Linked DNA regions of Caenorhabditis elegans. The protein of the gene in region 1 purifies or fractionates together with the protein of each later gene. This does not show direct contact. Each region holds a gene or a part of one and is shown on either strand. Other genes may lie near its edges. The genes, in order: cyn-3 and ned-8.

Evidence for each region.
Region 2: the proteins of cyn-3 (region 1) and ned-8 purify together in Caenorhabditis elegans (affinity purification with mass spectrometry; 2 studies listed by BioGRID, with this or other methods). This does not show direct contact.

What each region holds. Positions count from the first base shown.
Region 1 is NC_003283.11:15,182,085-15,197,868, forward strand, and holds cyn-3 (Peptidyl-prolyl cis-trans isomerase 3), read left to right. Parts: upstream 1-7,842; 5' UTR 7,843-7,867; coding exon 7,868-7,936; intron 7,937-7,986; coding exon 7,987-8,238; intron 8,239-8,548; coding exon 8,549-8,749; 3' UTR 8,750-8,842; downstream 8,843-15,784. Other genes in the region: fbxa-84 (F-box domain-containing protein), read left to right, coding at 635-765, 986-1,631, 1,760-1,957; Y75B12B.1 (Mos1 transposase HTH domain-containing protein), read left to right, coding at 2,625-2,921, 2,967-3,187, 3,234-3,324; Y75B12B.3 (Transposase), read right to left, coding at 3,842-3,889, 3,940-4,176; cyn-7 (Peptidyl-prolyl cis-trans isomerase 7), read right to left, coding at 4,599-4,793, 4,908-5,159, 5,208-5,276; bath-36 (BTB and MATH domain-containing protein 36), read left to right, coding at 6,390-6,496, 6,557-7,128, 7,178-7,461; Y75B12B.11 (DUF7808 domain-containing protein), read left to right, coding at 9,225-9,294, 9,346-9,429, 9,478-9,574, 9,629-9,752; plc-2 (Phosphoinositide phospholipase C), read left to right, coding at 10,639-10,701, 10,793-10,891, 11,206-11,388, 11,433-11,575, 12,019-12,097, 12,142-12,242, 12,990-13,138, 13,190-13,345 and 6 more; Y75B12B.13 (uncharacterized protein), read right to left, coding at 11,650-11,785, 11,830-11,915. UniProt on the Caenorhabditis elegans protein: Catalyzes the cis-trans isomerization of proline imidic peptide bonds in oligopeptides. Plays a role in protein folding, transport and assembly.
Region 2 is NC_003279.8:10,366,633-10,381,796, reverse strand, and holds ned-8 (Ubiquitin-like protein NEDD8), read left to right. Parts: upstream 1-7,934; 5' UTR 7,935-7,937; coding exon 7,938-8,024; intron 8,025-8,092; coding exon 8,093-8,239; 3' UTR 8,240-8,424; downstream 8,425-15,164. Other genes in the region: cox-19 (CHCH domain-containing protein), read right to left, coding at 1-68, 612-715; F45H11.11 (uncharacterized protein), read right to left, coding at 876-1,049; hpo-35 (PB1 domain-containing protein), read right to left, coding at 2,710-2,922, 3,322-3,832, 4,361-4,640, 4,691-4,838, 5,077-5,142, 5,555-5,805, 5,853-6,261, 6,317-6,411 and 3 more; sptf-1 (Specificity protein transcription factor 1), read right to left, coding at 10,270-10,296, 10,507-10,634, 12,669-12,879, 13,944-14,148, 14,790-14,959, 15,021-15,164. UniProt on the Caenorhabditis elegans protein: Ubiquitin-like protein which plays an important role in cell cycle control and embryogenesis. Covalent attachment to its substrates requires prior activation by the E1 complex uba-3-ula-1 and linkage to the E2 enzyme ubc-12.

The DNA.
Region 1 (15,784 bases):
AATTGGAAACGATTTTTCACAGAATTCCAGGCATTCTCAAGCTGGATATAATTGTTGATTTCGATAGTCAAATTAGAGCTTATTTTTTGAGTCAGTAATTTTCCAAGGAAGTATTGAGAGCGGGTCTCTGTTTTGAGTAACGAGAATTGTCTTGAAACTTAGGAATTGAATTTCGTCTTGAGCAGGACGTAGTATGAGCGAAATTTTATGAAACAGTAGGCATGCAAGTATGCATTTTGACTTGAAGTAGGCACAAAGACCGGAAAGATGTTTAAAATTGATATTTAAATTTATAGAATAGTTTTAGACTTTTTTCTCAATTCACCAGTTGAAATGTCAGCGTCCGCAATTCTTAAAGATCAAACCAAAATGGAATACTCTAACACCGAAAAGTTTGAAAATCCGCGTGTCTAGTTGCTCCAGCTTCGTCATATCATAATAGTTGCTCCAGCTTCGTCAAAAAATATTGTGGCCAACCTAAACTTGGAACACAGAAAAATTGATGCTTCTACTCTGATAACAATATTTCCTAATTTCTTATCAGCCGATTTTGTCATTCTCACTTTTTTCATCTTTGGTTTTACGAAACCAACAAATAGTCAGCTTTCCACAAAAAAGTTTAATGTAAAGGAAAATGGTAAAGCTGAAATCTATCAAAAAGCTATTTTCTTCATCGAAACCGGCTTCATCGCATACAGCAACATTTTCTGAATTGCCAACTGAAGTTGTCGACGAAGTTTTGAGAAAGCTTGGACCAATTGATAGGTGAGAGATTTTCCAAATATAGTTTTTTAGGATTTCATTGGAGCGCACTTATTAATCGAAATTATGACTGTTTCCTTACAAGTAACAAAATTGGAGTGGCTTCCCTTGAAAATATTTTGTGAAAATTCTGAAATTTCTCAAAATAATCTGAAAATAAATTTGTTCAATTCAGTAGAACCGATTTCACTTGTTAGTAACAGAGCCAACTTACAATTTCCAGAATAATCGCCAGAAAAGTGTCTCGAAAATTCCGTGCAATAATTGAGGCAACCTGTCGCTTCAAGGAAATCAAAATTGAAATTGCAAGTTTCTATAACCCAACTGTCTCTTTTCATCTGGATGATGCGTGTATCACCTACGAAACAGTGGGCCAAAGTTGCATTGTAAGCTTTGGAAAGAAAAGGAAGAAGGTTAAGAAACGAAATTGTGTGGATGTTATGCTGGATGATCTCTCATCACTATTAAGAAATCCGAAACTGAATCTGGAAGTGTTCAAACTTCAATTTTACATTTTCGTAGAAGCAAACCACCGAGAGACTCTTGTAAACTCCCTTCCAGTAGTTCTAAAGTCTGCAGAGCCTCTGAATGTCAGTGAGTTTCAAGTTAAAAGAGCACGATTCGACGAGATGGTGCCTATTTTGGCATGCTTCGAGGCGGGAAAACTTAGGAAATTGAGTTTTCTGCAAAGCATTGACCAATATGACTTGTTCGAAACTATTGTTCATTTGGATCAATGGAAAGAGGCAAAGGTTCTAGAAGCGTTGTTCTCAACGTATTTGATAGATGTTGAGGAGCTCTTTCATTTTGAGCATTTTAAGATTAAAACTGATTCATTTACCACGGAAGATGCCATACAGACCAGAGATGTGAGTTTTTTTTTCTAGGTTTCCTATAAAATTTCTCAGAACAGGCCCTTTTTTCAAAAAAAGTAGAGGAAACATCTAAATTTATTTATGCATTTCAAAATAAAATTTTAAATAAAATTCATTTCCAGATCCTCACAGTATCTGCCCACTTCCAGTACGCTAAACTTTTCTTCCCGGAAAACCGATCTACGGAGCTTGCAAGAGTGTTCGACCCGAAATATGAAGGCCCGTTGAGTGGATCAATCAATTACCAAGCGTGTGATGCAAATTTTATAATTGATTTTAGTCCACATCACTTTGAGATTAAGAAAATTTTTCATACTTAAATTTTTTGTTCGGAATCCCCCAATGGAAAACTTTAAATTATTCTAAAAGGCCTTAAAAACTGGTAAATAACAAATAAATGAAATATTTATTTTTTCTTCAGGAAAAATGATGAAAAACAAGCTGGAAGGCGTGGCAAAAATCCGGAAGAAAACATGTTTTGCATATTCGCGTCAAATAGAGTGTTCAGTCTGCAGTTGCACATGTTCTTGTCTACAGTAGTATGAGAGCGCGTGTGGCTAATCCGCCCATTTTTGCAAGCGCCGCACGCTTTTTCTGCAACCACGCGTCACGTGGCACGGTTCAAACATAGTTTTTCGAAACTCGAACCTTGCAAATACTTTTTCTTTTCCTAGAAATGTGTTTCTTTTGTTAGATTTTTTTTTTCAAAACATCGGAAAACGGAAAATTTTTGTTGTTCGGTTTAAAAAATCAGAACTTTTTTTTTTCAGAAAAGAAATTTGATCAGATCTATATAATTTTGACCTATCCGTAGATCAAATAAGTTTATTCTGCGCGCGGTAAAAATTGAATTCTTTTTCGTTTCTTTTCTCCTTTGTCCCAAATTTGGTCCAGCTCTAACTTTTTTTCTCTTTCCCTGGTTTTCCCATGTTTCCCTTCCATTTTGCACTATGTATTACGCTTTTCATTAATTTTCATTTTCAGATTATGGCTTCTTCCTTGCGTACTGATCCAGCCTTCCTTCGCACATGTGTTCTCTACGAGGTGTTCAAGCTGAACACATTTTCTCAGGGATTCGCTAACTTCTGCAGCACGTTCGGAAACGACATCATGCATAATCGGGAATTCGAGTTCTGGCACAGACGTTTTTACGACGGAAATCACGATTTGGGTCTTGAGATCAGCTCACAAAATGCCATTGACCACGAGCTCGAACGTGCAAAGAATGGGCAAATCCTGAGATCGGATCCGTCACGTTCTGAGAAGAAAGCAAAGCACTTGGAGGTTTAAAAAATTTCAAATTTCTCGATTAACTCCTTTACTTTTCAGTTCATTACTTCTCCTCTGTGCAAAGATCCGGAATTCGTTCGTTCTTGCGTCCTCTACGAAGTTTTCAGTCTGAAAGACTCTACCCAAGGATACAAAGATTTCTGCGATGCTCTCGGAAACGAGTCTATGGGCGTCAGAGAGTTCGACTTCTGGTGGAATCGATTCTACAATGGTGATCATGATTTGTGTCTCGATATGACTGCCGCAGTCACTTTGGGAAGGCAAATATATAATAAGCTTCATCAAAATAAATTGTTAGTTTTGTAGCTCCGGACAAGACGATGGCTTCACAAATGATGGAGAGGCTGAAGAGACTTCGCAGCTTCAACGTGTTTCTGGAGATTCTGTGGAATGGTAGGGTTCTGGGGTTGAATGCCCTAATAATTGAGAATTTCCAGAAATACTTGCAAATTTATGATGATTACGGTGATTTTTCGGATGAGGAGGAGCACGTGCTGAAGATGTGCAAATTCGGAGAGCCTGCTATCAGAGAGTTCATTGTCGCGAACTTTTCGGCTGAAGAGATCGTCGATTTCAGATCTCAAGTATGTTTTCAAAAAGCCTTCTCACAATAAATGTTCCAATTTTCAGCTTCACGATAATCTGGAAGAATACGAAGAGAAGAACAAGCCATCTCTCATCAAAAAGCTCGTCGGAAAGATAAAAGGGATCGGCGCTCGGAGAGATGATGACTCGGATTCCGAAGAGGATTCGGAAGAGAGCTCCGACGAGGACTAAAATCATTCTTGTGTACAACCCAAACCTACTAACCCGCACATTATTTTCTGAAATAGCTTGCCACAATTGTAAATAAATATTAGCGCCTGTAATACTCTTGTAACTGGAAGAAAGTTCATTTAAGAAAATATCAAAAATTAGAACAACTTCTTGAATGGATTTCCTTGTTGCCCGCCGAGTTTGCTCTGAAAATGGAGAGACTACTGGAGCTTTATTAAAAAGGTATTCAACTAACCAAGTTCTCAATCTTCGCCTGAAGCTCGACGATTTTCTTCTGCAAGTTGTCCAAATCACCACGAGACTCCTTCAATTTCTCCAAATTCTCCGACTTTTGCTCATCCGAAACTTCCGGATTGTTGACCTGCTGCTCATACAACTGTTTGGCCGATTCATAACCAGACTTGCTCGATTCATAGATCTTCTTAATGTTCTCCAATCGAAGTTTTTCATTATTAAGAATCTCGGGAAACATTTCTAGGAATCTGACAAGTGAGAATAACCAAAAGAATGTGAAGAGCTGGCAACAATGCCTACATTTTATGCTCGAAATCTGAATATTTGCACAATTTACAGCTTTTCCTCTAACAATTCCATTTTATGTGTTTACTCTTCACGAGTCAACAGAGTTCGAACGGTTGTCTGAAATTCAGGATAGAATGCGCAGAGATTGGAACAAAATGACGGAAATCGACGCTTTCAATCGCTTCTACAATGTTACAGTTCTCTCCAAGCTGTTGAGAACAATTCACGAAGGCTTCCTCGAGTACGACCCATGTAACTGAACAACTATATTCTTTTCGAGCAATTTATTGATGATCAAGATGAAAAAGTGAAGCAATAAACAGGGTTGGATGGGGTGATTGAAAAGAAGAAAAGTTCTCACGGAGAACAAATTTAGAGCTGTCCGCAGTCGGCGATGAGGCACTCGGACTTTGGAGTTCCGGAGCTGCTTCCGTTGCCCTCGACCTTGCTGACGATGTCCAATCCTTCGACGACACGTCCGAAAACGACGTGCTTTCCGTCGAGCCAGGCAGTCTTGACGGTGCAGAGGAAGAATTGAGATCCGTTGGTGTTTGGTCCAGCGTTAGCCTGAAGAAAAACAATGAAACTTATCAGCCAGTGGATAACAGTTAAGAAACTAGATAATGCTTCTTTTCTATCAGTTTATGCTGTCTTTCAATCTGGCTAGGCAACATAACTTACCATGGAAAGGACTCCTGGTCCGGTGTGCTTCTCCTTGAAGTTCTCGTCTGGGAACTTCTCTCCGTAGATGGATTCTCCTCCAGTTCCGTTCCCGCGGGTGAAGTCTCCTCCCTGGATCATGAATTCTGGGATGATACGATGGAACTTGGATCCCTTGAAGTGGAGTGGCTTTCCGGACTTTCCGACTCCCTTCTCACCAGTGCAAAGAGCACGGAAGTTCTCAGCGGTTTTTGGAACAATATCGTTGTAGAGCTGAAAATAAGATTTAATTTCATGAAAAAAGATCAGTGTTTTGTTTACCTCCATAACGATACGTCCGGTTGGTTTTCCGGCGATGGTGATGTCGAAGAAGACTCTTGGGCGGCTCATTTTCAGGTAGGGTAATCACTAAAATGCTTGAGTTATAGTTGAGAAATATGTATGAGATAGGTATATCTACAGAGGTGCGGCAAACACGCTCTGCGGTAATAGAGCGGGAATCAATCAAAGTTAAAAATATAAACAAAGCACCATAAGATACAAGGAAGAAGCACACGGATGAGCTATATACTGAAATGGAGTGAATTAGCGCACTAAAACAGAAAATTTTAGGCCCAACTAAATTAATTTTCCTGTTGGGCCTAAAATCTGCCGAAAGACGTGATTCAACAAGGATTAAACGACAGTTGCACATCAAAAAAGTTCTTAAATAATTTTCAATTGATTTTAATTCATTTTAATAAGCGAAACTATAAAAATTCTGACAAAATCAACAAATTAGGCGACGAAAGAGAGAAGAAATGAGCCGTTCGCTTCTAGAATTTTCCGACGTAAACAACAAAGTCCGCAAAAGTGTCTGCGTACCCGACACCCAATCATACGACATGCGCCATATCTGACGACACTTTCGCTGTGTTTCCCGCCTTTTGTCAACACTTTCACCGTGCGCCTGTGTTTTCAAATGATCGTACACAAAACAACAGAACGGCGCCGAAATTGATAACAATTTTTGTAGGCAATAAAAGATTACATTGAAAAACCGGTCATTGATATCAGTTCGATCATCACCACGGTCTTCACGAAAAGAAGGAGAAATATCGAGATGATTTAACATTGAGAAACATTGAGAACATTTTAAATTGCTAAATAGATCACAAATTAATCCAACAGTTTTTCATTTTGTTGAATGCTTTCGAGATCGATTGAGCTAAATATGAAGCTCTGCATGTGACGGGTATCTGCGAAGCGGTTCGTCAAGATTAGCTTTGCTTATCCGCTAAAAAATAATCTTTTCGTACAAGGACAAAATAAAATCTGCACAAAATACATCGTGATGTGCTAAAAATGGTTAATGTGAAAGTCCTAGAAATAGACCAATAAACTTTATAAATTTTGACTGGTCTCGAAGCCATTTAGTGTACTGTAGGTGAGAGCATTGCTCAGCTTAAATTGTTTGTTTCAAATTCTTCTTCATTGTTCAAATTAAATTTATCACAAGATAAAATGTCTGGAAAAGACAATAAAGGATCAATTCGTTTTGAGATTCAAAATTTTTCTGGCTTGGCGAAGGCGACGGAGCACAAACCAGTGCAAATTGGACACGTAGAATGGTTAGTGAATTTTAATGAAACAAAAAATGTTCTAAATTATTTAAAATATTATCTTTTAAGGATTCTTGGAGCATTCACAAGCACTTCCGACGCTACGAACAATGCTAAACATCTCGGAATTCACCTGAAATGCAACGAGGAACTGCGCAGCAACTTGTGGTCCTGCGATGCGTCAATTCGTTTTTCACTTCTGAGACTCAATTCAAACGAGGATGATGACGCGTTTTCGATGGAGTTTCAGCAAAAGTTCGACGACTTGAACAAGATTGTGGTGGTCAACAATTTTAAAAATTGGGAGGAAGCCATCTGCTACGATAATCGATTTGTGCTCGATAAGCATGCCGTTCTTGAAGTCCAAATTACTGTCAACAAGATTGCCGGAATTCATGAGAGGATTATCGAGACTTTCGATCAACCCAAGGAACATCTTACCGATGTTGTGCTGGTGCTTGAAGGAAAACATGTCCATGTTGGCAAGCAAGTGCTCGCAACGAGCTCGCAATTCTTCCAAAAAATGTTCTATTCGAATTTCGCCGAAAAGACACAGGCTGAGATCAAAATCGATGATGTGACCCACTCTGAGTTTATCGATTTGCTCAATGTGATCTACCCCACTCACATGCTCATTAATAGTAAGTTCTTTTTTTTATTTGAGGCTTGGAATTATTAACGGATTTTCAGGTTCCAACGTGTCTCACTTGCTCAAGCTGAGCGATAGATTCGCGGTGCCAAGAGTTCTGGAAAAGGCTGAAACGTTTTTGATTTTGGACCAAAAGACCCACTTGATCGACAAGCTGAAGTTCGCCGAAGTCTACAGACTCTCAAGGCTTCAAAATGCATGCCTTTCGCAATTGGAGACCAGCGAAGATGTTACTGCGTTGAAGCATCACGAAAATTATAAATCTCTCGATCATATAACCTACAATGCGTTGCTTCAGAAGCTCATTGATCTTTTGGAAGATTAGCTCCAAGCTTTGTTGAATTTGTTGTTGATAAATTCTGTTGTTGATTTCAGTTTTCAAAACTGCAGATTATTTTTTGTTAAGGAGAAGGTAAAAATACCGCGAAGAACTGTTAATTTTTGATTGGTTAAAAAACTCAAATTTAAACTACCACCAAAAAGAAGAATGTAAGCACGCTCTGCTGATGAAAGAAAACCTTATTCAAACTTCGCGGTCTCACAAATTATCAACGGAGCGAACATTCTGACCCCGCCCACAAATCGAAATTTCTCTGCCGCTCTCCATTTCGGTCCCATTTTTTGAATTTTCATGCGAATTCACTGTTTTTTATTCAGATTTTTTATCGATTTTCGTTTAAATTATGTAATTTTTATGATTTTTCAGTAATTTCCCTATTCTTGCCTCAACAATGAGCCGCTCAAAGGTCTTTTTCGACATCACCATCGGTGGTAAGGCTTCCGGACGTATCGTCATGGAGGTTTGTGAAATTTTGGCTATTTTCATCTTCAATAAATAAATTTTTTACAGCTTTACGATGACGTTGTCCCAAAGACCGCCGGTAATTTCCGCGCTCTCTGCACCGGAGAAAATGGAATCGGAAAGTCTGGAAAGCCACTCCACTTCAAGGGATCCAAGTTTCATCGCATCATCCCGAACTTCATGATCCAGGGAGGAGACTTCACCCGCGGAAACGGAACTGGAGGAGAATCCATCTACGGAGAGAAGTTCCCAGACGAGAACTTCAAGGAGAAGCACACCGGACCAGGAGTCCTCTCCATGGTAAGCAAATCGTCAGCTGAATCTGTTTGAAGTTCGAGAAAATGTTTTTTTCTGCTCAATTTGGGAAAAATATCACTGTTTGTTCTCCGAAAAGAGGGAAAACTGAAGATTTCTAAATGTTGCTTTTCCGGAAATTGTCGTATCTGTGAGAGACGCAGACATATCTCACAGCACGTTGTGTGTAGGATGGAGTGCTGAGCCGTTGTTAGGAGAAATTGAATGATTTATGAGAAAGAGCAGCTGAATGTATCAGTCTCAAAAAATATCAGAATTTTTGTCTGTCTCGAAAGTAATATTTTCAACATTTCAGGCTAATGCTGGACCAAACACCAACGGATCTCAATTCTTCCTCTGCACCGTCAAGACCGAGTGGCTCGACGGAAAGCACGTCGTTTTCGGACGTGTCGTCGAAGGATTGGACGTCGTGAAGGCTGTCGAATCCAACGGATCCCAATCCGGAAAGCCAGTCAAGGACTGCATGATCGCTGACTGTGGACAACTCAAGGCATAAATTAATTGCACCCGAAATCTCCTTCATCTCTTGATTATATATTTTCAGTATTCAACTAATCCATATTTTTCTCATAAACCTCAGTTATCCCCGATTGTTCCTTTGAAGAAACCCAGGTCTCATTGAGAAAAAAAAAAGAAATCAGCTCAGACGTTGCGCATATTTCCATCTTCTGGCGAAAGGCGCGACGTTGGGTCCCGCCTTTTCAGGCGACATCACAATCCGATCGCCTCGGCCACTGCACAAGTCATCGATCACCGCTGAGGAGTTGAACCCGCGTCTGTTGTTTGAAGACGGCGCGCTTTACCACTGAACCACTCGGTCGCGAATAGTAGTGCGCCGTTGTGTACCTATAAAAGTGTGCGTAGGCAAGCAGAGAGGAATAATGAAGCGGAGAGTTTCAGAACCGGATTTCAGCTTTATCTAATACTTGAATCTACATGCAACATCCATTCAGATTTTAATTCAATCTTTAATGAATCGCATCTACTATTTATTGTCGCTTTTAATTTTTCTAAACACTATAAACTCTCTTTATCAATGGGGTAATTTTTAAAAGATTAAATTTTTTTGAATTGACATTAAAAATTTCTCAGAAAATCGGATTTTAAAATGTGAAAACGCCAACTGCTCTCTTCAAAAAACCGGCGAAGAATTTAAACCTGCAGTTTGTGAGAAAGGTCGTCTTTTTATTTGAATAAACTTTTGAAATCGCAAGAAAAATTCAGATTCTAACGGAAAAATCGCATGTGATATAGAATGTGATAAAGCTGATCGTGACAGTGTTATCTCAAAAAGGCCCACCGATTATCGATATTGCAATAGGTGATCCGATTAAATTAATGTTTACAGTAGTTTCAAAAATTCTATAAATTTAAGGTTTTACACATACAATGCTGAAAAGACTTCCGATGGAAAATATGTGATTTGGAGAAGTGGAAAATGTGCTGAAGCAAATATTACTTTATCTGTTCATTGTGCTTTTGCGGTGTATATGGTCTGAAATAAATAATTTTTCTGGATTTTATTGTATTACGGTACCCGAGAAAGTACGCAAGATGTAGACGTGGCACACCATTCGACGAGCAAATTGGAAAAATTAAATAAAATTGACGACGAGATATTGTATTAGTTCTAAACTCGATCAAGAACATTCTCTTTATTTCGAAATAAAATTACATATGTACTTTTTGGGCTAAAAATAAGTCTCGCCACGACACAGTTTTGTTAAATAACAAAGATGTGCGCCTTTAGAGGGTAATGTAATCTCAAAATTGTATTGTCCCTTTTCTTTAATCAACTTTTTAAAGTTTTCCAAGCGAATTAATAAACTCTATGAAAATTGGAAGGAAATTGCACAGCAAAAATTTAAATTGCAGTACTGTTTGAAGACGCACACTTTTTTGACGAAAACATGTCGTTTTGAGACCGGGCAACGTGATTACCTTATGCCTGCCTGCCTACTGCCTATTTGCTCTAAAACATGTACTTTGGATGTAGGCACGCGTGTAGGCATGAGGTCAGACATATGTACATATTTGTCCTATATTCATTCAAAGACACACTCGATTCATGTTCCCATCTGAAAACCAAAAATCAAATTATTCAAATACATACTATAAAAAATCAAAATACAATTAGTAACCTTTTCTACAACTCACTGGTGACATCACATAAACCTTGACATTTTCTTCTTCATACTGCTCCCCCAATCAAAGAATGCTATCAGTTATCAATCATATGCACCAAACACAAACATTCGTACAGCCAAATTCGCTGCGTCTCTCCTCAAACTCGTACTCTCTCGGGCGTCTGCTGACGACACGGAAAGCTGATTTGGTTGGAAACTGGCCTGGAAAGTGACAAAATTGTCACTTTCCTCCGCCAACATGGCAACGAAACCTACTGACATTTTGCGTGATGGTAAATTGATTTTCTTTAAATATGAGGAGGTGAGGATTTTACATTGTTGTAAAAAAATTACTCTTTGTCAATGGAGCGTATTTGGGTAATCAAAAATATTTAAAATTATGAAATTTTCAGAATTGGACAAGCCGAAATGCCGTTCGTCTTCATGTTGATCCAACACCTTATATTTTGTATTGGAGGTACAAGGATCCTAAAGTTTTCAATACAAAGGAGGTAGGTTGGTGCCCTTAAAACCCCCATAACTATAGAATAGGCGAAGCTGCGAAATAGATTTCAACTATAAAATATTATCCATATTTTTTGAACATTTTGTCAGTTGAAGAAAATTTTTCTTTTGACGGGGGAACGCCACGTGAGGCCATATTCAAATTTATTCAAAAAAATGTTTGAAAATTTGAGAGTTCAAGTTGTAAGTAGGAGGAAAGTTAGAGTAGAAATAAAAAGTAACAATAATCTATTTCTATATTTTATTTCATTTCTACACCTCTTATTTGTCAATTTTTCATATTAGAATACCAACTTTTCAGCTTGCTTACGAGAAGAACTACATTTATCTAGAACGAATCTATGACGTTCGTGCAGGAAAACCGACAGACTTTGAATTAGTGCCCAGCGAGAGAAGTTATGAGCCCAACTTTTTGACTATTGTCAGCGGGACAAGCATCACGAATCTAAAGTTCACTCATTTCGTGTGTATGGAGAAGAATGAGGTGATTTCGTTATACTTTAACCTAAATCCTTTGATTTGATTCAGAAACGCCTGCACGAGTTCGCCGCCACTCTATTTACTGTGGTACAGCGTGTCAAACGGGAAGAGCACGGACTTTTGTATCATTTTCGTAAAAAGTTGGCTCCGAAGATGTACGCGGCGTTTACTAGAAGGTGTATTGAAGAAGAGTAAGTTTTTTATACCGTAGTTGCAAGGTACACCTAACTGGACGCGAATTGCTGCATAGTAAAACGTTCATTATTTAATTGTAATGATGCTTCAAATAATTTTCGACGTTAATATCAATGTGCAGCGAGTTTTTCCCACGTCTATCATACTTTTGGTGGTATTGATCAACAGCTTTTTCATCCTCAACCGGAGGAATTGTGCAATCGAAGCTGTAAATCTTATTATTTAAATTAAGCAGTACTGCTAACTTTACCAGTCAAAAGTATGCGCATCCGTTGGTGTTCCAAGGAAAGCCACCAAGAGAGAAAGCAAGAAAATCGAATATAGAAAGTTTTTCATAGCAGAAACTGGATAGTTTTAAGCCTTTGCGTCTTTAAGAGCGAGTGTATGATTGAATTAGCAAAGCACATGGGAGCTTGATTTTTGATCATTGAAGTTTCAGTATTATGAAGGTTTTCGACAAGCATCGAAAAAACTCAACGAAAATTGAATGGACAGAGGTTGGAAAACTCCTTCCAGTGGTGAGTTAACATAATGCCTGCAAAACCATTACAGTCTCATTCAGAATCGAAAGTCTGTCGAGATAGACGATCAGAAGCTCATAAAGATCATTATGATACTTACCAAGTTTGAGGGTTCCAGGTTGGAAGCTATATTTCGAAAAATGTAAGATTCTTATTAATTGCAATTTACCTCACTAGGGAACCATCAGAAGGTGCCCATCGGACTTGCATAGGAGACCTATGCCATTTAATAGCCCATGTCTTAAAACGGTTACTCGCGAATTTTTAGCTGCGAATCTCCAGAACCAAGCTTAATGCGGGCTCTCAAAGATCCTACAATAGCACTGTAACGAAGCACTGTAACAATCAAAAGAAGCTATTTTCCATATTCACTTTGGTAGCTCATATCTCCGCGGATAAATTTTTAACAGAAAAGTCATCAACTGATAAGTTGTTGAACTTTTTGTAAAGAGCAAGTTTGTAGTTGAAAGTTTTCACCAAAAAAAATTCTGTTTCAGATAAAAGCATTAGAATAGCAATCGCAGCCTTAAAATAGTAGACAACAGTTGCCGCACTTCACGCGCTTTTATTTGAAACAACAATTTTTTTATTAAAAACTTTCAATTACAAACTTGTTCCTTACAAAAAGATCAACAACTTAAAATTTATCCGCGGAGATATGATCTACCAAAGTGAAGCTGCAAAATTGACCCTTCAATTTTTCGTTATAGTGCTATTTTCAGGATCTTTGAGAGCTTGCCGTGAGCTTAGTTCTGGAGATTCGCAGCTAAAAAATCACGAGTAACCGTTTTAGACATTGGTTTAAGACATGGGCTATCGAATAGCATAGGTCTCATATGCAAGTCCGTTGGGCACCTTCTGATGGTTTCCTAGTCAGTTTCATTTTCAGAAGCGAGGATGAACCTGTTGCCACAAAGTTAGAATTTGGCGATTGGCTTAGAAAAAATCAACACGATCATCGACTCAACGACGCTAGGTTCAATCAGGTGTCAGATAGGAAGATCAACTCGATTTTAGAAAACTGGCAGTATTCTAGCGGTTAGTCTAGCTACAATTGGAAGCTTCTTTTAAAAACGAGGCTAATTTCAGATTCCGCAATTTCACCTCAAATGTTCACACATTGGATGGTGTCCGATGAGTGCGGAGTTGCGATTTCGGCACAAAGAATGAAGATGGATGTGACTAGTATGAGAGAGCCGATCAACAAGTATTTCATTAATTCTTCACACAACACTTATTGTTCTGGTAGGTCATCAACTCACGCGGACTTTTTTTTTCAAATATCCGTTCAGGCAACCAACTGGTCTACGCAATTGGTCATTGCTCCGCTGACGTTGAGATGTATCGTCAGGCTCTTCTAAGTGGAAGTCGATGCGTTGAGCTAGATATGTGGGATAACAAGGACAAAGATGGAGAACCTGTGATAACTCATGGACCAACTGCAGTTATGGGAATGAACGAGATTGGATTGAAAGAAGTTTGCGAGGCGATCAAGGAATGTGCTTTTAAGACATCTCCCTATCCAGTGATTCTATCCATTGAGAATCACCTTGGCAGAAAACAACAAGAGAAGATGGTGCAGATCTTTCGTCAAGTATTCGGAGAGCTGCTGTTGACTGGCCCACTTCCAGACTACCCCCTTTACGCTAAAGAGGGGGCAGGCGACGTTGTGTATCCACCGCCGGAACTTTTGAAGCACAAGATTCTGATTAAAGCCAAGAAGAAAAGATTCGAGAAACAGGAGTCAAGAAGTCGCGATAGCTCGAGCATTGATCTACAGGGATCTTCAATCGATTTGACCGAAGATGAAGAAATGGAGAATGAACGATTCAATGAGCTCACTGAAGAACAAAAAGCCGCCCAGCTCAGCGAGCTACCAGAAGAAACAACATGCTCCGAGCTGTCCGCCATCACCAACTACATGCAAGCCTATGAGACCAGTCGTGGAGTTTCCACAGTTGTCAATCTAGAGAATGCTACAAAGGACATCGTTCCATGCATAGTATCTGCTGATGAGAATACCGTTTACAACTGTCTCCGTGCAAATTCCATTGATAAAGTCCAAAATCTTAACAAATCAAAGATCACAAGAATCTACCCGAAAGCCTCTCGCATCTATTCCACCAACTACAACCCGATGATTCACTGGCTAACCGGCTCGCAAATGGTTTCGTTAAATATTCAGACAAATTGTTCGAACATGCAACTGAACTACGCAATGTTTGAGAGAAATGGAGGTTGTGGGTATGTTTGAAAAATAGAAAAAAGGGCGTGAAGTTTGAGCTTGCAGATACGTGAGAAAACCTGATTGGCTCAGAGCACGGAATGTTCAGCTGAGGCCGTTCTTGTCGATTCCATTCACGATAGCGTATACGGTCGAGGTTGAGGTAAGCAAATTTTATTATCATAGATCTTCTCGGGGATTCTTTCAAGTTCTGAAGTTCACGAAAATCTCTTCCTTGAACTTTTTTCAGAGGGTTTCAACCCCAAATCTCAGTGAGAGCTGGTAAGAAAAAGATCAAGCTTATTACATTAGACAGACCTCTAGACATCTTTCAGTTTACACAATCTTTCTCAGATCATTGCCGCATACTTCCTCTCTTCAATGGATTCTGGCAAATTTCGTCGACGAAGTTCAGTTTCCATTCGCCTCTTTGACGTACCTGATCAGATATCCAAAGATGATGCCGCATCGCCATCAGTATCCACGGCTGCAAAATTCGAATCCAGCTGCCGACGGCGTACTCGAGAGGAGGCTTCGTTTGTCACTAACTATGAGCGTCATGTATACAGTTTCGACAAAATCATGTTGAATGACATGTCATTCATTCAATTCAATGTTCATAATGAGTCGGGTAGTGTATTTGCTCAACGAATACTTCATATTGATACTATGAATAATGGTGAGACAACCGCATAGTTCACTGATTTTCCTCAATATTTCCAGGATATCGCTTTGTGACACTTCGTACTCCATCTAATCAGTGTGCTGGGCCAGCATGCCTTTTAGTTAGATTTGATCTTTTTATGCATTCAGATAGGAAAAATTTACGTAAGTTCTTGTTTTAACAGGAGCCCTGAAACTGTAAATTGGATTCAGATGACTTGAAGCAAATGTACAATCCACACGCATTTGAAAAGGAGTCTGACAAATGGGAACGAAGATTCAGCAATCCATTTGCAGACCTGGACAAGTTTGATGTAAGATTTCCATACTTACAGATCAATATCAAAAGTTTGAATTTTAGGACAATGAGTTCCTTCTAGTAGAGGGAACACGCAGAGGATCAGTGGAGCATGCACCAACAACACCCACCACACCAACCAAGCCAATGTCTTTTGGGAAGGAGATTCTGGAAAAGATATCGTTTTGGAAGAAGAAGTAGAATCTAACATTTTTTGCACAAAAAATACGAGTTGCATAAATCTACCTGGAATACAAAGAAACAAGAAGTCGTATGCCCTTACATTAGCAGCAACTACAGTCAAGAAAAAAACAGTCATTAGAAAAAAAAGGCTTTTCGCAGGTTCTTATATACTTTCAAATGAGAATCTGAAAATCTGGAAACTATAGAAATAAAAATCAACCAAGAAGCTGTTGCTCATTATATTGTGCAAAAGTTTATTTATATTTCAAATCATTCAGGTCAAAAGAGGCAGCGGCCGTCATCTCAAAAGTCCAGT
Region 2 (15,164 bases), on another chromosome or scaffold:
AATAATCTTTTGCAGTTGATCGACACTCACTGTTTTGTTGCTTCTTCTCGTGTAGACACACCATGTAGCTGTAATTTTTCACTTTAGGATTTTTATTGGAAATTAGGAAATTAGATGTCAAACATAGAAGAATGCTCTGTGTATTACTGTACTTACTATTAGAACTGAAAAGTTATAGAAAAATCCGAAGTTATAAAAAAAAGTTTTTAACAAAGTGTTTTTTCAGAACTTTCACTTTAATTTTGTGAACATTTTTAAAACGGCTAAATTTTTTTTTGATTATCCGCACAAGGTTACTGTAACTCGACTTTTTTGTAATTTTTATCGGCATTTTTCCGTTTCTCTTTCAGATTGTTTTTGGCAATCTGAAAGAAAATATTAAAGAAAATGTAATAAAAATTCAATTTTTAAAAGAAAAATCCACAATAAATTACGAAAAACTAGTTACAGTAACCCATTTGCTTCTCTAGAATTAGAAAAAAAACAGTCATTTTGTCAATTTTCACCTAAATTGAAAGGTTCTTGGTAAAAAAAGTTTTAACGTTTTCAAATTCTATTCTATTTTGCAGTTATTTAACTTACAAAAATAGTTTTTTGCTGAAAATACTCACTTGAGCATTTCTAATTTGCAAGTTCCCTCGTGATCCAATGGAAATGATCCTTTGAGTGGAGCACTGACCGTAGTCACACGGATGAATGGACCTGTTTGAGACATCTGGAATAGTTTTTTGAAGTTTTAATTTTCGATTTTTGATAAAGAAATTCCATGGTAGTGCAACCAAATATGGCATTGAAGGAAGAAAAGTTATTAATTTCAAGTTTTATTAATTTAAAAAAACTAATCAACAATTAAATTCTAACAAAATATTGAAAATTCAATAATCCTTGCCGCTCTCCTTCTGCATTTTCACATATTTATCCCATGATTGAACTGGAATTTCCGGTGATGGTTTATTCCTTTGCCAATATTCGTATATATGATTACACGTGATAGCCATCATCAGACTAACACCAAGGATACCAGTTTGAATTTGAGATTTTGAAACCATTAGTCCGTCTCAATGTTGTCTGCGTGTGGATCGATTTGAGCCCAACGACGTTGATCGTTTAGTCGGAGACGTGTTCCCTGGAAAATTAAAAATGAATATTATTAATCAGATCTGAAGTGTTTGAAATATTGATGCAAAACTACGGTAGCCGGTCTCAACACGATCGGATGTACGCATGCGCCTTTAATAAACACATTATTTTACATACCGTATACAGTTTTTGTACTAACAATAAGCGATTAATTCACGAAAATACAAGGTTTGAAGAAAAAACGAGAAATTAATATACTTCTTAAAGGCACATACTCGTTGTTGTGTTAAATTTTTCCGCCATGTGGATTGCCTACTGTATTTTCGCATCTGGACGTTACAGATTTTTTTTAAATTTTGATAAATTAATTATAGTTTTCGAATTTCTTTAAAAAACAGTTTTTCGAAGAATCTGAATGAAATCCTTACAGTGAGTTGTCCGAATGAGATTGAGTCCTCAACCCAATAATACGTTGAAGCAACTGAAGGCCAATTGACATATAAATATTTTCTTTTCTCCTCACTTCTTCGTATTGTACGGAATGCAGCAAATCCGAGAGCAGCTGCAGTGACTTCGAATGCCACGAAACTGAAGATTCCTTTGCGGATGATACCCGCCAGCTGGAAAAAAGTTCAAATTAGCTGCACTGGGTTACGGTAATATTTTCTATTTTTGTCAAACCCGAAATTTTGCGATTTTTATCTAAAATTACGATACCTGGTCTTACCACGACAAAATTTTGTAAAATGTCAAAAGATGTGCACCATTATAGAGTACTGTAATTTCAAACTTTCGTTGCTGCGGAATTTTCATTGATTTTTCGAATCAAGTTGTTAATAAATAAAATAGATGAACATTCCGCAGCAACGATAGTTTGAAATTACAGTGCTCTTAAAAGGTGCTCACCTTTTTGTACAAAGTCGTGTCGAGACCAGGTGCTGTATTTTTGGCGCAAACATTACAAAATTTCGGGTTTATGTAATATTTTCCTGTAATAATTGCCTCAATACAGGAAAAGTTTCAAGAGAAGCAAATCACTACCGTAGTATCAAACAGTATTCGGAAAATAAAGCAATTTGAACATTCTCAACTCATAAAATTCATTTTAAGTTTCAGAAAAAATGATGATCAAATGGCGGTGTGGACGGGGGGAATTGTGATGCGGGAATAAAAGGTGATATAACTGACACAGAAAAATCTTCTAAAAAAATGAAATTCAATGCGTTCACATATGTACTCCAATGCACAATTCAAATGAAAGAGATGCAGGAAAAAGGCGGTAGAGAAACGGCAATGAAATGGATTGAAACGATATTTGAAAGAAATAGAAAACCTATGGAAATGGAAATAATTGATTATGCAAAACAACTAAACAACGATGTAATTGTGATTATATTATCCAAAACCCTGAACAAAACAACAAGAAGCGAGCAAAAAAAATTTGGAGCATTTGGACTAAAAACGGTAAATTTGGTTTCTTACTGGGCACTGAAAGAAGTTTCAAAAAAAAGATAAGGAATGATTGATCACAATAAAAGTGATAATTTGGGGAAAGAATGAGGGGAATATGTTATAAAAATGAGAAAAATAATAAAGCATTTGGAGATATACGGAATGAAAATAGGGGTCCTAGTTCTTCTTGAAACGTTTCTGCTTGGTCTTCTCCCAAACAGTTTGTCGGGGTTCGTTGAAGCGTTCAACATACTCGTAGGCCGGTTCCATCAATGACTCTGTACAGTTTTTCGAGCAACGACAATGAGCAAGACCACCGGTTGGTACAAGTATTGCACCTGGTTTTGGAGGTGGCGGATATACGTAGTTGTGTGGTGGAGTTTTTTTGTACTGAAACATTTTTTTAATTTTAGATTTCTACATTAAGAATTTGTAGGTAATGCTTTTTTCCAGGAAACGGGTAATAACATTTTTTGGATATTTTTGGAAAGGAATTCACTAATATCATTGCATTTAATGAGAAAATAATTCTTACAGTGTGTTTGAAAGTTGGATTTTTCTTGAAGAAAAAAAAAACAAGAACCAGGGTTATCGTGTTTTGGAATTCCAAAATTGGTTTTTTTTCGGAAAAATTAGATTTTAAATTAATTTCACAAACAAAAACATTTCCGATTTTCCAAAAAAAAAAAACGAGAAATTCGCGCATCACTGTTTCACGCTTTACATTAAACTTTCTAAACAGAATAAAACTTTCAAGGCACATCTTTAAAAATAAAACTTTACACTCACCATCATATCGACCATCTTTTGCAACTCGGGACTCATCTTCTTAGAAATCGTAGCCTGACCACCACCTGAAGCTTCACCAGAGGTTGTGGTTGTAGTTGGAGCCGTGGAGTGAGAAGCAGCGACATTACTAGCCGCTTTTCCATTCGTTTCTTTTATTATCTTCTCTTCAACACTGAGATTATCAAAAGCAGCAAGAGTTGCATCAATCATATTATGAAAATTGCCAGTTTTAAGCCCGGAATTCAATGGTTTAGAAATTAAATCAGCATAATCATCTGAAGGTTTCGATCCACCACCATCAGCCACAGAAGTACAGATTTTTGGTTGCAGTGCATATGGAGTTGGACGAACAAGAAGAGTATCATAAAGCTGACAAGATAGTTGTGAATGGCTGAGACCCTTATCACGTAAACGTATCCAATTCTCAAATCCAACTTCTACATTACTTCGCCATTTCGATACTTCAGAACTACGAAGAGCCAGTTCAATTGTGTTGTGTTGACTGCATACTCTGAAAAAATGATGAAATTGAACGCGGAATTGTTAAATAATCTAGTTTTGTTTTTGATTTTTTGAATCGCCATTGATTGACTTTTAAAAAATTATTGTTTTTACCCAGACGCAAAATATGAAGTTTTGTGATTCATGTGCCGAAAATACGGCCCCAGGTCTCACCACGACAATTTTTTGATCATTGCAAAGGGGTTTTGTACCTTTAAAAAGCACTGTAATTTCAAACTCTCGTTGCTACCGAATTTTCATCGATATTTCCCCGTTTTTTTTTCTCGATTTGTTGAGTTTTCAAGTGGTTTTATTGTTGTATTCGAGTTTTCAATTTTTTAAATAGAAAAACTATAAAAATTCCGCAGCAATGGAAGTTTGAAATTACAGTATCCTTTGAAGGCACGCACCTTTTTGAATTTATCAAAATATTGACCGGGTACTGTAGTTTTGACGCAAAATTTTGCGTCTAGCTAATATTGAAATCGATCATTGTGGGACCTTTTCTGGAACACATTTAACTAGAAAAAAAACGAACTTGGTAGTGAATTTTCCAATAATAGAGTGAATACTTTCAATACTGAAACGTTTCACTTCATCTACATATTGTGGACTATTAGAAGACATCAAAGCAACTTTCAAAGCAACATGAACTTTTTGAAGTTCAAGTGTGACTAAACGAATAGCTTCTTTGCATTCACATCCTGGTGGAAACATTGGTTCCAAAATATTGAAACCAAAATAAGCAGAAGTGACAGCAGTTCTCAAATTCTCATACATATCGTGAAGAGGTGGCAGTGGATCCTTCTCGTTGGGCTCTGTAAAAGAAAAAAAAATTGATAATATCAGAAATAATTCCAGAACTCACTAGCTTTTACGTATTTCTCGTTGATATTGTTGAAATAATCGAATTGTCTTTGAAGTTGAGCCAAATGTTGTACACTTTCAAGCATATCACAGCAAACAATTGTAGCGCTCTCGACGAGTTCTATCAGAAACTCTGGATCGTGTGCGGGCTGAAATTTGTTTTATTTTGAGGTAAAAACTAATCATGTGTTATTCAATTAAAAAAACGTACTTTGAAAATTCAACGGTTTGCATTAATTATTGTTTTTTTTTATATTTGTTAAAATTTGAGTGCTTGTAAACGAAAAACTAGCAATTTAAAAACTTTCCTAAAACTAGTATTACTCATATGCGAGAATCCAGAGTCTAAAGTGCTTTGAATTTGTTTTTTTTTGAAGATTGAATTACCATGAGTTCTTCCTTCAAAAGTTTTTCCATTCGCGGCGAATAATCGGAAGAAATATCACAGGGAGCCTGAAAAGGATTCAACTTTAACTATCTCTGTTTCAAAAACATTATATATATATATATATATATTACCCCGACACGAAATTTTGCAATGTCTAAGCTTAAAATATGGTACTCGGTCTCGCCAAGACAAATTTTCGTTAACCTCAAAAAGGTGTGCGCCTTTAAAGAGTACTGTGACTTCAAATTTGTATAGACTTTTTATAGTTTAAAAAAAATGATTTATTGAAATTTGTGTTTTAATTGTTTTATTTTGGGATTTCAATAAATCAATTATTTTTAAATGAAAATCTATGGAAATTGAATGTTTGAATTTACAGTACTCTTTAAAGGCGCATGTCGCTTGGCGAGACCGGGTCCCGCATTTTTTAAAGTGTACAATCTCATGTCTTGGTAATATCAGACAACAAATTCTTACATATCTCGACAAAATTCTATTATAATAATGGAGAAGACCGGTTCCCAGACTATGAGCGAGAAGAGCCACAGTATCTTCGTGTACTTTCTCATTATATGGGAATGAGGGATTCCAGACGTCTCGAACGAGTTGTTCGGCTATCAGTGTTGGAGCTGAATCCATCGACTTTTTGGATAAAGTATCAGATAGAATATTTTTAACGTGATGGTATGCTTGTGATTCTGTCCATTGACGGTTGGAAAGTGGGGATTCTGAAAATGGACAAAAAATATTTTTTAAATTTCAGTATTTACTATACTTTTAGCAGGTGAAGCGAGTGGATCTCCAATACGTATCAATCGATGTTTCACCTCTGTATCCTGTTGCTGACCGGTTTGACCACGTGGTTTGGGCTCTACAAAAGCTTCTTTCAATGGTATCTTGTCGCTAACAATCATTGGAGCTGTATAATCAGTTAGAATTGGCGCAATTCGAGATTCATCATCATCGTCATATTCTTCACCTTCTTCATCTTCATATTCTTCCTCGTCCTGACTAATTTCTTCAGAATCACAATTTTCATCTTCAACATGAGACACTTCTTCGTCCTCCGTTGAATCATACTGTTCAGAGTCTCCATCTATCGGAGTAGCTCCTCCATTTGGAACTCGCTTCTCCATTTTGTGGCTTTTGCTCTGTGGCGTAACATTCCATACGTAATCTTGATTCTGAAATTTAAAAAAATTAAATTAGATTACATTCTGATAGATTTGAAACTTTTACCTCTACGTACAGAAATGCAGTAGGATCATTATGAACATGGCGAATAAATGTGTGAAGCTGTCCAGTAGTTGTGATTGGCACGTACAAACCATTGACTGAAAATTGTCTAGCTTTACAAAGAAAAAAATTTATTCAGAAACAAAAGGGACCTCGAATACTGCCTGAAAGCTGCAGTTTCTCAAAATTTGCAAACAACAGTTGAAGTACTTTTCTATCTTTCTATATAAATTTTCGATTAAAACTTCTACAAAACTATGAGAAACTTTAACTTCGAATTTTTGTCTGAAAATTCGCTCCGAAATGGGATTTTTTTGAGAAAATTACCAGAATAATGCAAAGAAACAGTTTCGTCGTTGGAAATTGTAGCCAAATAGTTGTATACATCCTCGTATGTAACTTCCACATTCGAACGATACAACATTCTCTGAAAAGAAATGAATAAATCTTGAACTATCAGATATTTAATTTACTTCTCGAACATAGAAGGTGAACTTTTTCTTTGGAGTTCCAACGTACATGTAGCTGATTGCCTGAAAGGGTTGATTTTAATGTTGTTGGACTCGAAATCTTCAGAAATACTTACGACAATGTGGTCGTTTTTGTTCTTTTGACGTTTTCGCGCATTGCCTGATGATTTAGGCAGTTGTGACATTACCATAGTAGGCATTTCGGCTGAAATTTAGTTTATTAAGTGGAAGCATTAATTTCAATTTATGAAAAGGATAGAGAAATGTCATTTAAGCAAGAAAATCGAAGGCTCTTTGGAACGCTTTATGGAAGAGTGCAAGTTCGGCCACAAGGCCAATGTCTATTTATTTTCTGCTCAATGAGTGCTCATTAATGGGCTTATAATAGTAGTTATGATGGCCGTTATGAATGGTGAAATAATTTATTTAATTTCATGTTTGGGTTTGTGTTTTGTTCTATTTCACCCCAATTTTTTGAGTAATGTAAATATAATTTCTAAATAGTGTTCCGTGATTCATGAATGATATTTTAATTCTCCTATCCACAAATCTGTTTAATTTTCATTATTATATCACATTCGACCAGTAGGAAATATGAAAATCGATAACTAGTGTTTAGGATGAACCTAACTGAACTTCCTAGGAGATCAGAACGCGCAGTATTTGTAAGAAATCGATTTGTTCTTGATACGCTGAGCGCATTTGTTCGAGAAAGGTACTTCATTCGCTTTTCTTTCGTCTTGACGAACGGTGAGCAATTTTCTATCTCATTTCTTGAATTTTTCTTCTTCTTTTCTCAATAATATATTTCATAGCTATGAGAACTTTTAATACTTCAAACAAAATAGATTTCGGACTAAGACTGAAATTAAAAATGAAAATAATATTATAAAAACAAAAATAAATATTAACAAAAAATAACTGCGTAGTAAGCTGCTGCGTCTCTCATATTCTCATGCTCTCTCGTTCGTTCTCGCGTTCCAAATGCGCTCTACCGGACCCCTCTCATCATTCTTCGAATTTTGTTCTTTTTTTCAAGTTTAGAGTTAAATCCATTGTTTTTGAATCACTTTTTATCTGTTAACGCAGTATTTTGAAAATTTTATGTTAATTTTCACCTAATATTCGCTATTTATCGTCTCAGTTTACAGAAAATGCTCATCAAAGTTAAAACCTTGACTGGAAAGGAAATTGAGCTGGACATCGAACCAAATGATCGAGTCGAGAGAATCAAAGAAAAGGTAACATACTTTAACTTCCATTTTAGCTAAATTTTATCTCGAAATATCCAACGAAAATTATTTTGCAGGTCGAAGAAAAAGAAGGAATCCCACCACCCCAACAGCGTCTCATTTTCGCCGGAAAGCAAATGAACGACGACAAGACAGCAGCAGATTACAAGGTTCTCGGTGGATCTGTTCTTCATCTGGTTCTTGCTCTCCGCGGAGGATTTTAAGAAAATGTATTCATATAAAATGTAAACTCCCGTCTGAATTGAGCCCGCTCCAAATAGAAACGAGTCACAGTCCCGAATGTCCCGTTTTTATGTCCAATCTCTCCAACTTTCAATATTTATTGTTACATCAGTTCTTTAAATCATATTCCTCATTTTATTTTCTGTGTTCAAATAAATAATGCATTCTTGATCTCGTGATGCTATTATTTTAAAATTAAAAGCAGTCCTGCCCTGAACGCAACGGCGAAACAATTAGTGCTTCTCATTGACAATTTTCTCCTCATTGAAAAGGAATATTAAAAAAAATCTCGGTAACTCTTAAAAATGTTTTTCATTTATTAGAAAGAAATTGATGAAAATAACACTATGGTAACAAAAAATCCTGAGAATTCGTATTACGCAACAAATGAGTACTGTAGCACTGCTGACGATTTACGGAAATCATTTATTAATCGATAAAATATTAGAATAAAAAAATGAAAAAAATAATACGGAGAAATTCATTTCGAAAATCGAGCCCGTAAATCGACACAAGCGCTACAGTAGTAATTCAAAGAATTACTGTAGTTTTCGCTACGAGATATTTTGCGCGTCAAATATGTTGTTCAATACGCATTCTCAGAATTTCGTGTTCCCGTAATAGATGGGTCTCATCGCGAGCAAAAAAGTTTGGTAACGCTGGTTGTACTTTCTTCTCAATTTTGATTGTCTCAAAATCACAGTTTTTCATTCGAATATGAGCGCAAAAGATTGGAATATATTTATCCGTCACTGGATGTCTTGTTACTCGAATTGTATGCTTCAATATCTTAAGTTTGAACATCCAGACATCAGTGACTTGCCTATTATTATGAATCTACCTAAGCATAAAATTGGACCACAAAAGTTCGAAATAACTCGTATTGATGGAATTAAGGCAGAGTGTAACGTCGTTGAATCCATGGATGGTTTCTTCACCTTCACAATGCAAACAATTTAATATCCCAATTTTACAATCTCCGTCCACAATGCGTAAATGAAGCGTCGATGTCATTCATGAAAGTGATCGAAAAAAGCAGCATGCCATTCTAATAATGTGTTAGTGTTTTCTAATCTTGTTCATACCTAACACATATTGCACGACATCTGTTTTCCCCAGTTCCAAAATTCGTGTAAAATACCATTCCCATTTTTGTAAATCGTAATATCATCTCCTCACTCCCATCTGTTTCCCCTTGCATTCATCTTTTTTCTATAAAATATTTACCGTATTTTTTCCAATTTACCATATTATCTTAAACATCTTCCGAAAATTAGTACTGTACTCCTTAATAATCTTGCGTTTAATTTTTTGTTTGGTGCAATCCCGCTTCACTAATTTTTAAGAGTTACCGAGATTTTTGTTTCCTGTTTTTAAACAATTTTCTCAAGTTTATAAAAATTGAAGTTATTGAACTTTTTGTTACAGTTATGATCAAAATGTTAACATCTCCAAATGAAAAATTGAGTTCTTTCAAGTAAAAATTAATAAGCCCAACACAAATAGTATAACAATCATAGAAGAAATACGGTTGTTATATTAAGTGCAAATCGAAAATGTATCCATATAAGATGGTGCCATATCAGCCATATCGGCTCTCGTTCAGATCACTTAAACTCAGAACTATGATGACGAAAATATGTTTTCTAAAATTTTCATTTCATTGGTAAATCGAAAGAACTGCATAACCTGAGGATAGCCTTCGTAAAATAGAATTTTGAAATAAAATACCCCGGTCTTGCTTATTGGTATGTCGTGAAGATTTCTGAAAAATTGTATTGCAGCCATACCAATAGACAAAATACGGCAGTTATATTGCATGTAAATGGATGAATTCTATATATTTTAGACCACAATTGTTTATTTCAGACAGGATGGAAAAATATATTCACAATAGACCAGAGACAGAAGAGAGAAGATCAAGAGGAAATAAAATAGAAATATCAAATAAAGAAAGTTAATTTATTTTGAATGAGATATGTGAAGAGATACGGAAACATGGACGATGTAGTCATGAGCTGTCACCGGAGCGTTTCTTCTTAAAAAAAACAGAATTATGATAATTGCCAGATTAATTTTTGGTTGTGAATGACGCAACGCATTGGACAATGATAATAAACTGGATTAGGAAAAGATTCAAATATAATAATTACAAAAAAAAACAATCACTCTACAAGCTAATGCGAGTTCACCTTCAATTCCTTGACAATCTTCGGATACAATCTCCTGATTATACGGGCTTCCTTACCATTTGACGTTCACCAGAATGCCATCTTAAATGTGCTTTCAAGTGACTGCTCTTATTATAAACTTTTCCACATCCAGCAATATGACAATTATGAACTCCTCGCTTACGTGCTGCAATTGCATTGGGTCCTGAAACGAATGAGATATTGAATTTCGATGGAATGAAAATTTTGTTTCCTATGCTAGTATTAACTGAAATTATTGAACATGACAAAAATGTTCAAAAATTAGTTTTTGGCTGTTATTCCAAAAATTAAAGTTTATGGTAGAACTTGTTGTACTTCAAGTACATACTAGGAGCATTTTCCAGTCTTTATCGATTTTCAGAAAAATGTTCCCGTATTTTAGTAGTTATTCTTGAATGGTAAAGACTATTGAATTATCTCAATTATATAATTGTTTTTCTTGCGGTAAGACCCATTCAAGTAAAGCCATGTTTTTTTAAACAAAACTCAGAAAATGACCAAGCTACAATTTGTTCAAATAAAAAATCAAAATAAATTTCAAAGTGAAAAAATTGCTCTTTTCTTTAAAAGTGCCCCACCCCCCCCCCCCCCCTATTTCCTATCATCATTCATCATTCATCTTACACCTTCTGACAGTTTCTTAAAGATCTTAATCATCTTAATTTCCTTTTTTGTACGGCTATTGATATCTGTCGGCATCTAAATGTTCCCAAGAGAGAGCACATCCCATATCGTTGCACACACCAATTATGCTCCTATGGAGCGCATCGGTTACTTAAAAAGCGTGGGATTTTGGTTGGATTACCCATGAACAGGTGCGTGTGGATTTGTCTACGGACGGATAAAGGTATTATTAGGTGAACGAAAATTTGAAGAAATTATTTTTGAAATTGGATTTATGCATAACAAGCGATTAGATGACTGATTGCGTGATAATTGGTTCGTAAATTTTGGAACTTCTACCTGAAGGAGCATATTCAGATGAATCTCGCGGCGAAAAAATGTATGGTAGGGTGTTTTGAAATTAGTTTCACACTATTTTGCATATAATTTCGTTCCATAAAATCTTTACAAGACGAAATTTTTTTCCGCGGCAAACCAATCCAAATAGAATTGTGAGCCACATTTTTTAAAATTGCGAATTTATGAAATTATTCTCCAACATTTTAGAAAAAATATTGAAAAAATGAAATTCTAGGTAAATTACTTTCTGTGAAATTTCTGTTTAACTTTTTCCAGTTCAAAGAGCACGTATTGGCTCAATGTTTTGTAATGGTTTAATTGATCTTTTTTCTGAAGTTTTCTGGTTGTTGCCAAAACCCATATGCCCAGGGAGCCTGCCTTTAATTATACTGCCTTTAATTAAAATTTCAATGATCAACAAATCTCAGCTTCTCCTCCTCAGCCAGACGTATCGAATTACTGATCATGTCTGGATGGCAGGTAATTACGCCGGATTAACCAACAATTTTGCCCGTTCAATGAACTACGGCATTGACTGACAAAGCGAGGATCTGTTGCACTACAAATTATTTCAGCATTTTTACTCAAAAAATACGTTACCTGGCCTTGCGACCATATACGAAATATTTTCATATCAAGGAACCGCGCAAATATATGCGTATTTAAGAACTACGGTAATCCCGGAAAAACTAACACCGATATTTCAATTTTACAGTCGTCTTAACGGAAACAATTCCAAAAAGATGTTTCCTACATTAATAAATAGCCAACAATCGTTATACGAAACAAAGTGGTTATTAAGGCTTTTAGAACCCTGTTTTAGAAATCATAAAACTTTCCCTAAGAACTCCTTCCCGCCGCTCTCCCTTCTTTCAATTCTTTCAATATGTGCGATTTCACGCTTTCCGACTCACTCCCTCCCTCCGTCCCTTCCATCAAAATTGTCCGAGAGCTCAAGCTCCGTCGCATAAAATGTATGGCAGAAGGAGGCAGTTTTTTTTCTATTTCTTCCAAAAACGTCGTCCTCCCCCCGAAAAGTGACACCTCCAGAAGAATCGAGCGAATAGAGAGTGGGAAAGTTGAGAGACGCAGAGATACTGTTTAATTGAACGTTTTGAGATGGGACGAAAGGATGAACAAAACGGACGAACGATTTGATTCATTGCCAACACCTTTTTCATCTTTTTCATTTTTTTGCAGCGAAAAATGAAGAATTGGAGAGGAGGAAACGTACCGAATTTCTCAATTTCGTGGCAATTTGGGCACTCGCACTTGTTGGCGGTTCGTGATGAAGGATACTTACCAGTACCTCCACTACCAGAAGTTCCACGAGCACTAACACTTTCAGAACCACTGCTTACAAGACTATTTGCACTGGAATTGGAAGCTGTTAGTACTGATGGAATTGATGAAGATGAAGCCATTGGTTTTGTGTGTTGGAAACTCTGAAAAATAGGGTTATTTTTCAATATCAATGGTTTGTAATCGTTTTTAAGCTTTTCAGGTGGGCATGCTTGCCTAACGCCTATCAGAAAAAAATAAGCGTGTACATAAGACAAGCAGGCGTTGGCAGGTCTAGGTTGTATAAAATGTGGGCGATCAAGCCTGGATTGTCTTGAAGGCAGATAGGTAGGCGTTTTTGCCATGACAGCAGGTATGCAGACCGGCTTATAGGTCGGCAACTATACCTAGCCAGCTCTGAAGACAGTCAGAGAGGTCTAGGTCGTCTTTAAAGTAGACAAGCAGGTCTAGGCCCACTCGAAGGCAGGCGATTAGGTCGTCTTGGAAACAGACAGACAGGTACTTTGTTGTCTAGAAGACAGACAAGTAAGCGTAGGTCACCTTGTAGGCAGACATCTATACCTATTCGTTGTGAACATTTTTCGTTACTTGATTAACATTGTGAAATTGCTTCTCCCTTCATGTTTCAGTTTATTTTTAAAATATACGTTTCAGAGCTCTTTGATCATTGAGCCACCATGTGATAATCATATTATCACTACTCCTACTACAAGTTGTACTAGTCTTTGATATTTTTCCTCAAACCCCGCCAATCAGTACAACACCATTTAGGTTGTGAATTTCGAAAATGCCGACTAATCGCTTGCCTATTTTCATATTACCAAAATCGTGTTGGTACTGATATATAAAGTACATTTTCGTTACGTTGTCACTGGATCAGAATTTTCAGACCTTTTCAAAAGGGTATTGCAAAGTAGTTTAAAGGCAACGGAGCAATTTGGAATGGGGATTATTTAATCTGAAATTTTTGGTTAAATTTATCGAAAGGCAAAATTTAGAAGCTTTTTGGAAATATTAATATGTTTTTTAAATACCTCAGATACTTCAAGCTGTTTTCAGGTTTACAAAACATTATATTGAGAAAATCCCATCAAGAAAATTCAAGTATTTGTTTTGATTTTAAAAAAATCGCATTGAAAATGTTAAGCGCTACTTTTCTCCAGCTCAAAGCGCTCTTCTAAATATTTGTTGCTAAGCCATAACTAACCTTTGCAATAGTTCTCTGTTGACTCGTTATGTTGAGAGCTGATTGTGCATTAATACCGGCTGGCAGTTGAGAAGCCACTGCAGAAACTGACGAACTTAAAAGGCCACCAAGTTGACTAGAAGCCAAGTAGTTTTGATAAACATCTACAGATGAAGCTGTGGTTACTGTAGGGTACAGTTGTGGCCATCCTGTTTGGTCAACCCACCTGAAACATACATTTTTGATAAAGTTGTCAAATTTGTACAATAGAAAAAATTATGTAGCATTATAGAACAGTAATTGATTAATTTGGAATTTATGTTTTTTTTCTGTTGGAAGCTTGAAAATAACATACCAAAGTTTGCTGAAAGTTGCAATTTGAAAAAAAGTATTTTAAATTCACTTCATAATTTTGAACAGCAATAAACATTGTTTTTAAGTAGATCAAACTTTTTCTAAAATTCTTGATTGATTTTTCAGTTTTGTACATTTTCAAAAACCAATGTGTTGTGCATTCCCAGTCGGAGTAAATTAAATTTTAAGTCACAAATTGAAAATTTGAAACATATTATGATTTGCAAGGAACGAGGAGAAATATGAATGAGAGCAATCTAAGGATGTATAAAACTTTTGAGGGAAACAATAATTGAAATACAGTTTTTTGGTCGATTTTCAAAATTACTAGTGGAAGAAAAAATTTATGCTTCCATAGAAAAGTTTAATCAGAAATATTGATTTTTCAGCAGCATAGAAGTAAAATCTCTAAAACCCATGCTTCTAAAATTATCAGTTGATAGGCTTTCATTTTCAAAAATTAATAATCATAGTTATAAGCTCTTTAAAATCATAGATTTAATGTGTACTTACCAATTAGGAGTTGCTAAATATGGAGAGTACGCATTCATATCAGTTGGCAAAAGTAGTGATTCTGGTTTTGCTGGCTCTGCCTTCATTTTGATATCTGCTCCCGGCACGAATTTATTGCAATGCTCAACGAGCTTTGATAAAGGGTTTTCTCCGCTCATTTGGAATGGGACCTGAAGTTTAGAAGGTTACATTGAAATCATAAATTATAATTAGAAAAAAAAGAAAACTAACTGAAAATGAGAGGGCGACAGAAGCGGCATCCGTCGGATTCAACATCTTATTTCTATTGTTTTTCACTTTAATATACGAGCTGCCGAAAAAAGCGAGAGAAGTGAAATAAGGGGCGGAGCGACGAGACGGGATGCGAGGAGAGGA